Mus musculus: one gene and its partner. The protein of the gene in region 1 interacts with the protein of each later gene in a biochemical or structural test. Links are inferred from orthologs where the notes say so. Each region holds a gene or a part of one and is shown in the gene's direction. Other genes may lie near its edges.

What was found. The genes of interacting proteins can lie anywhere in the genome.
Region 2: the proteins of Myo6 (region 1) and Tax1bp1 form a complex in vitro, tested with the Homo sapiens proteins (5 studies listed by BioGRID, with this or other methods). The link is inferred for Mus musculus from reciprocal best matches to the Homo sapiens genes MYO6 and TAX1BP1.

Annotation. Positions count from the first base shown.
Region 1 is NC_000075.6:80,163,969-80,167,718, forward strand, and holds the start of Myo6 (unconventional myosin-VI), read left to right. Parts: upstream 1-1,065; 5' UTR 1,066-1,261; intron 1,262-3,750. UniProt on the Homo sapiens protein: Myosins are actin-based motor molecules with ATPase activity. Unconventional myosins serve in intracellular movements. Myosin 6 is a reverse-direction motor protein that moves towards the minus-end of actin filaments.
Region 2 is NC_000072.6:52,712,503-52,716,252, forward strand, and holds the start of Tax1bp1 (tax1-binding protein 1 homolog), read left to right. Parts: upstream 1-1,226; 5' UTR 1,227-1,353; intron 1,354-1,662; exon of another isoform or gene 1,663-2,127; intron 2,128-3,750.

The DNA of each region.
Region 1 (3,750 bases):
GGCTGAACTATCTTGCCAGCCCCTTATTTTGTTTTCATATTAACCTCTTTTTTCTAGTAAAGGAGATGTTTGCTCTCAAATTTGCATAGGAATGTAATATTTAATTTAAAAAGATGACCCACATATGACCTTATAAGGACAGTAAAATTAAACAACCGGAAAGATAAAGCGGGCCAGTTGGCTCAGTTCTATAAAACCAGCCCACAAGGATTGTCACTATTCTTAGGCTTGCGCGGGCTACATGATGAGTTCCAGGACTGCCTGGTTACAGACCGAGACTCTCTCAAGAGTCCAGATAAACAACAACAAAGGGGGCGAGGTGGAAATACAGGGGCTGTAAGAAGTAAATATGATATCTGCATGGGAGGCTAGCCAGAGAAGAAAAAATTTTCTTCCGTGGTTCAATCCTCCAAGGGCTGAACAGGAAGTTGACGCAGGCAGGTGAGGAGCACGAGCCTAGATGGGCTGCGGTGCCACCCTTAATCCCCACAAGCGAGTTCCTCCGCAATTCGCCTGTCCCACTCTCAACTTTTCTTCAACTGACTCTTTGCTGTGGTCCCTCGCTGTGGCAGTGGAAACAACTACCACTGCGAGGTAGGGAATGTCATGAGGGGCTACCTGCAGCCCTTGGCTTGCAGGGATGCAGGGATGCGGTCGGAACCTGAGGCCCCGCCCTTCTCTTGCCCCACGCCATTAGGCCACGCCCCTACCCAGCACTCCTTCAACCACCCCCTTCCCCGGCGCCTCATGAGGTCCCGCCCCTCTCAACCCTAGCTCTTGAGGCCTCCCCTTCACAGCCGCCCCGGCGTTCCTTGACTTGAGGCCACGTCCCTCTGCTCCTTCATTCCCAAGACCCTACGCTTTGCGAGTCCTCCCTGTCCTGCTGCCTAGGACCCCGCCCCTCTCAGCCCTTCTGCCCCAAGACCCCGCCCCTTAGGCTGTTCCCGCCCACTGGCCAATGAAGACCCGCCCTTTCTTTAGCCGCCCCGCCCCGGTCCCACAAAATCCCGCCTCCGGCCCCGCCTCCCGCCCCCTTGGGCGCTCCGTAGCAGTGACGTGCGCAGGCTGGGCACTCTGCAGGGCTCTCTGGCCGGCGGGTGGAGACCGATCCGGGATCTGTCCCAGCAGGAAGCGTATCCCGGCCGCCGTCGTGCTGTCGTCTCCGGTGCTCGCTCTCGGCCGCGGTGTCGCGCTTGCCCTTCGCGCCCGCAGCCCGGCAGCCTCTCCACGGCCGCGACCCCTCGCGCACCTGCCTCGCCGGGTGAGTGTGGGCGCCTGCCCGCCTGCCTGTCCTCACCGCCTTGGCCTCTGCTCTGCCCGGCGCGGACTGGAGCTCTGGCTTCCCCTTCCCGGGCCAGCGGGGCTCCTGTCACCTGACGAGTCCCACCCGACACTGCAAGATAGTTTTATTTTCTCCTTTCGAAACACAGTGAAAAAGCTACACAGTCTAGTTTGTTGTCAGAGTAAAGATCAATTGATACCATTAATAATTTAGCTGTGTCGAAGAAGACCATGGTAGCATACTATAAAGCTGGAATTTTAGTTCCTAAGCGTTCTAGTATTTTGAGTGTGAGTTTTACGGATGTGTTGCTGAAAATAACTTTGTTATTTAATTCCAAATCGTCTTAAACTAATTAAAACGTGCTAGCTGTGGATTGTATTTTAAAATAGGAAATAATTTGATAAGGCCATTCTTAGATAATCTATGTCAGGAACTTTTACACAAAGATACATTTTATCCGGCATAAAGTATGTAGGGCAGAGCTGTTTAAATCCCAATGTGGAGATACTGCTGGAGCGCTACACAAACGCTGCTCCGATTTCATATGTGTTGAATAAAACTTTAGTTTGCTCTCGTGTTACAGTTGCAGGATTTTCGAATATAGTTAGTCAGCTTGAGACTTTTAACAGCCTTTGAGGCTCGGCTGTAACACCATAAAATCTGAGTCTTGAGCTTGGTGGTGGTCATGGTCCAAAGGTTGGCTGCGGAACAGCAGCATTTCTGTACAAATTAACTCGACTTCAAGACATCTTGGCTTGTGGTTTTCCAACTGGGAAATGTTTAGTGAAAAAAAAATTACCTTAGTGCTCTCTAGCATTAATTTTAGAAATGGCCACAAATGCTACAAGGGGGACAGAGGAAGCCCAGAAACAATGTAGTTCTTCAGAACAGCTCATTGACTTTTAAATGTCTGCCCATTTTCTGTGTTTGCAGTTGCACAGGAGTAAACAGGCACAGTGATAAATAGAAGTCATTTTAGTCTGATGCTCGTCGGCCTGTAGTGTTTTTATTTCGTGTGTGTGATCTGTTACCCATTTTTTTCCCTCTTCCTTTCAAGTTTTGTATTTGTTTTCAAAAGTTACTTGTAAAAGGCAGGGACAGAATACAACCCTTAAGAAAAGAGTATTGCGATTATACAGTTAAAAAGCCGTGGAGTATAGATTTTACATATGGTCTTTAGTACCTAGACACATGAGCAAGAAAAAGTGAACAACTATGATTTTTCATAGAAGCTACAACATATTAAAAACAAAGATGCAAATTATAGTCCATGGGACTTGTCCGAAAGGGATTTTCCCTTGTTTACACGATCAAATTTTAAAATAACAGTGGCCAGGAAATCGGAGAGAAGCCGAAGGCTCCTCGCTCATCCTGTTGTGACTTTGCCTGGCGTCTGTGGTGGATCACTTATTGTTTAGACAACTGGACTGTATCTGGGTTTTGAAAGGCCTTTAGATGGTTTTAAAGATTTCCACCATGCAAGGTCTGAATAAATCCATAAGAACTCCACATAAAAAACCATTCTCTAGTTTTTAACTTTCTCTTGGTATTCAAAACTCCACTTAGGGTACAGGATTGGGAGTGTAACTCAGTGGGTAAAGACCTTGCCTTGTGTGTGTGTGTGCGCGCGCGTGTGTGTGTGTGTGTGTGTGTGTGTGTGTGTGTGTGTGTGTGAGGCCCTGGGTACTGGAGTTTCATTTATATTATTATATATATTATATTAGAACATCTTATTTAAACATTGCAATTTGAAAAACACATTGCAATTTGAATAAATCTCACACAGTATAATGGTGATTCCCAGAAAGAGATACTTTGTTAACAGTTTATGAGCTGGCGATTTAGTAGTGATGTGACACACAAAAAAAACCCCTAAAGGTTTGATTTACAAAATAATATTCCAGGTTGACAGCCTTTCCTTTTATAGAGGAGAAAACAGAGGCTCAGAGAATGAATACTTGCTTGTAGCTTTGGAGGGGCAAAGTCCAGACTCTGAGTACACATGGAAGTCTCTGACAACAAAGCCTCTCTCCTCCTTTGCCCAGAAGTTGTCTTGATTTCGGTTTACTTGGTGAACTATTGAGAGCCCTTTGTAGGCCTGATCTGGAGATTAGGAGTCGGTACCCTAGGTAAACTGTGATAGGCCATGCATGGAGTCTAGAACGAACTGAGAATTCTGTCTTCTTTCTCAAGGCCTTGAGCAGTGACCCAATGCTTTGGCATCACGTCTGGAGTGGTTCCAGCATGTATTAAGTATTATGTGCTTTTCATTTTGATGGGTTTATAGGAATTAACACTGCAATCTAATCCTGGATTGATTTCATTGTAGCTGAGCAGTATATGATGTTTCTGGTCAGGATGGAACTTTGGTTTTTGTCCTTCAAATGAGCTAGATTGTTGCTCTTTAATACAGTAGCTGTCTTTTAAATGTTATTCAATTAGCTTTAACCTTAGGAGGGAAACATGCT
Region 2 (3,750 bases), on another chromosome or scaffold:
TGTCTTCACCCTGGAGCAGTAGAATGCCTTAACTCACAGCCAGCCATGAGAGCAATCATGGGGTCTTGAGTAATCTCAGTAAGGAGGTTCTGTATGAAGTTAAAAACTAAAACCCTGCCCTGCATTTTGGTAGCTGTGTCTCCTGACCAACAGAATGCCCCTTTGTGGTTAAATGCCCTGAGATGTCTGTCTGTTCATCTCTCTCTCACTCTCTCTTTCTCTCTCTCCAGGGCATTTTCCCCTATAGTTGCACTAAAATGAAGTGTCTGAAACGCAAAAGATCTCAATTTCATTATATTATTATAGACATTGTGGTTTTGTGACCTGCTTTCCCTTGTGGTTGTTTTCTAGAGCAGCACAGGAAGAAATACCTCAAAAGGAAGACTTGGTTGATCGTGATATGGAAGTGAAAATAATTTAAATTTCTAAAATTACTTTTGCCTTATATAGCTTACCTTTCTCTGTTAAATGTGCAGTTTGAATTGGAACTTCATGGAAGCAAGTGTATTTTATTCAAATCCATCATATCTTGTGTTGGAATATTACTTATCTCATGAATACACTACCGTCTTAATCATAAATATTTCTTTAAAACCCACAATGCCGAACTTAACTTTTGCTTCAACAGCCTATGTCTCTCAACAGTAATTTTTCCTTTTGGAGGACCAGAATGAAGAGATCCCTATTTAAACAAACAAACAAGCAAACACACAGACACCCAACTTAAAAAATTTCAATATATAAGAAACAAATGAATCAGCAAATATTAAGAACCTGTCTTATGGAGGCCAATGTGGACTTGAATTGTGTGGAAAATGAAAGAACTTGAAATTAGAGTTTTGTATATTATTGTTCTGTTTAATGTTATGCTTTCTTCGCTGGTGATACGGTAAATGTCATTAGTTTCATAGCAACACGGGAATATGATGGTTCAATTCGTGATAGCTATGACAGTTCTTGGGGCTTCTGTATATATTGAAACATGTATTAGCTTAGACTGATATTTAAGACCCAGGTCACCTGGCCTCTGAGCGATCCTTCCCATTTCGCTGGTAAGTCAGTTAATTTGTTTCAAACGGACTGTGTTTTGAGGTGACTACATCACTGACCAAAAGCCACAGAGGAAAAAGCTGTCAGGGAAACCACTAAAGGACTCTTTACAGCTAGCGAGTGGGGCGTGTCGCCGCAGAGCATGCGCAGCAGCAGAGGCGGAAGCGAGCCTCCCTGGGGCGGAAGTGACGCACCGCCGGCTCTCCGCTTAGAGAAGGTGTAGCCGGTCTACGCTGAGAGGCAGTGGTGGTGGCCGCGGAGGTTCGGGGCGCGGCGTAGCGTGCGGGGCGGAGGCCCTGACCGGTAAGGTTTGCGGACGGGCCGCGTGCTTTCGAGGTAACCGGCGCTCGCGCTCCGTCTCGGCCCTGGAACCCGGGCCTGGCGAGTTTTGGGAACGGTCTCCGTGGTGACGAAGCTCTCTTTCCCAAGGACGAGCTTCCCCCGGGCCGCGATTGTGACGTGTTTTGGGCTTGGGGTGACCGTAGAGTGGGAAGCGTGGCGGGAGCGGGCGTGCTAGGCCGCGGCTGGCCCCGGCTGGCCCCGGCGTCTAACAAGCCAGGGACGGGTGGCGGGCGCGCTAGGCCGCGGCGAGCCGGGGAGGACCCGTTGGGTTGTTTTGGTTTGAGTCTCCGCTGGAGGAAGAGGCGGGGACTCCCTGTGTCGCCTGGTTTGGCTGTTTACCTGGCTTGGCTTGATCTCCGGCTTCTCCTGGGCTGAGAGATTAGTTGAGTCTTGCTGTTTGGAAAGCAGCCCTCCCCCTCTGGTGCCCAAGAGAAGGCTTTAAGAAATCTTGGGGAGGATCGCTTCGCTCTGTGGTCGTCTGGACTTGATTTCACGACTCCGCCTCCCTCGCTCCACCCACTGCTGACTCTCCCCGGTGTTTTGGACCCGGCGGAAGGTGCAAGACGTGTTCTGGCTAGCGCTCATCGCCCGAAAACTGTACTGTTAGAACGTAGCTGGGGTGTTCGCTTGTATTTCCCTGTTGAGAAATATGAAGTACAATTTGTTCCTGAAAGTTTTGTTGGAAAACGTTGTGGCGTTTGACTATGATAGATTTCCGGCTTTATCGTTATGTTGGTATGTTAGACATTTTAATGCTAAGTATCTGCCAAGTATGCTGCTTTTTGCCAAGTGGTAAAAATTCATGATTAGGACACGAACAAATATAATTAAAATTTTAGTGTTCAATCCCAAAACATTCGAAAATGGTTATTTGAATAACATTCCTTAAAAGTGGGTTGATTAAGTGGGTTTGTGATCTCCAGGTTACCCTCTAGGTGTGGAGAAGAAGCTGAGGCCAAGGACTCGCCTCCATTCTATTCTTCTCAGGGGTAAATTGGATTTCTGTATGTCCCTTTCGAATGTTAGGCAAACGCCCTGAACTTATCTTAGATTTCTGCAAGAATATATTTGACTATGCTAGGAATGACTGGTTAACCTCCTCCCCCTCGTCTTTGTTATTTGTTAAATTTCAAATACAGTTGTATTGTATTATTTGTTTTCAAGTTATTACATTAGCTGCATACCATTTGCTCTTAGAATCACAGTCGTGTATGTGAAATGTATGTGAAATGTAACCATTGAGTACCTTTTCTAGGACAAAAATAACATCTTGGAATTATAAATTGTAACCTTTAAAGGATGCTGTTTTTAAAAAAATTTAGACTTATGCGTATGAGTGTTTTGCTTGCATTTTATGCCTGGTTATATCTGACTTAAGTCAGAAGAGGATGTCAGATCTCCTGGAACTAGAGTGATAGATGGTGTGAACCACCATGTAGGTGCTGTGAACCCAACTTAGGTCCTCTGTAAGAGCAGTAAGTGCTCTTAATTACTGAGTCAGCGCTCCATCCCCTAGGATGCTAAGTTGGTTTTTAAAAAAAGATTTATTTATTTTATTTTAATACACACACACTGTAGCTGTACAGATGGTTGTGAGCCTTCATGGGGTTGTTGGGTATTGAATTTAGGACCTCTGCTCGCTCCGGCCCAAACATTTATTTATTATTATAAATAAGTACACTGTAGCTGTCTTCAGACACACCAGAAGAGAGCATCGGATCTCATTATGGGTGATTGGCTGCTGGGATTTGAACTCAGGACCTTCGGAAGAGCAGTCAATGCTCTTACCTGCTGAACCATCTCGCCAGCCGGATGCTAAAGTTTTTATATGCAGTTCTAACTATATATTTATATTTCCTTGGAAGAATTAACTTACCTGTAAATTTTATTTTTACTTATTTATTGGCTGGGTCTTAACTATGTTGTAGCCCTGGCTGTCCTGGAGCTCTGCATGGAAACCAGGCTGGCTTCTGCCTGTTTTCTGAGTGCTGATGTTAAGGTGTTTTCAACCAAGCCCTGCTTCACCTGTGAAGCTTGTTGGTGTATTTTCTTTGGACTGATTGTTAGTATGTAAACTTTGGGCTTTCTGCACTTGTAGCTCTAAAGTTTACATTGTTCTAAATAAGCCTTAATAGAAATTACAAAGTTCTATCTTCTAATACTTGTGGGCCAAGAACAGTGTTTTACAAATGAACGTATTTTAAAAGATACAAAAATTAAGTTAAATTGGATCTGATATTTTATCAGCTGGGATTATAGCGCTTGGGAGCTGAGGCAGGGAGGAGTGTCGTGAGCTTGAGGCCAGCCTCAACTAGAGTTGCACAGCGAGTCTTTCTCAAAAGAGAAAACCACAGCTGG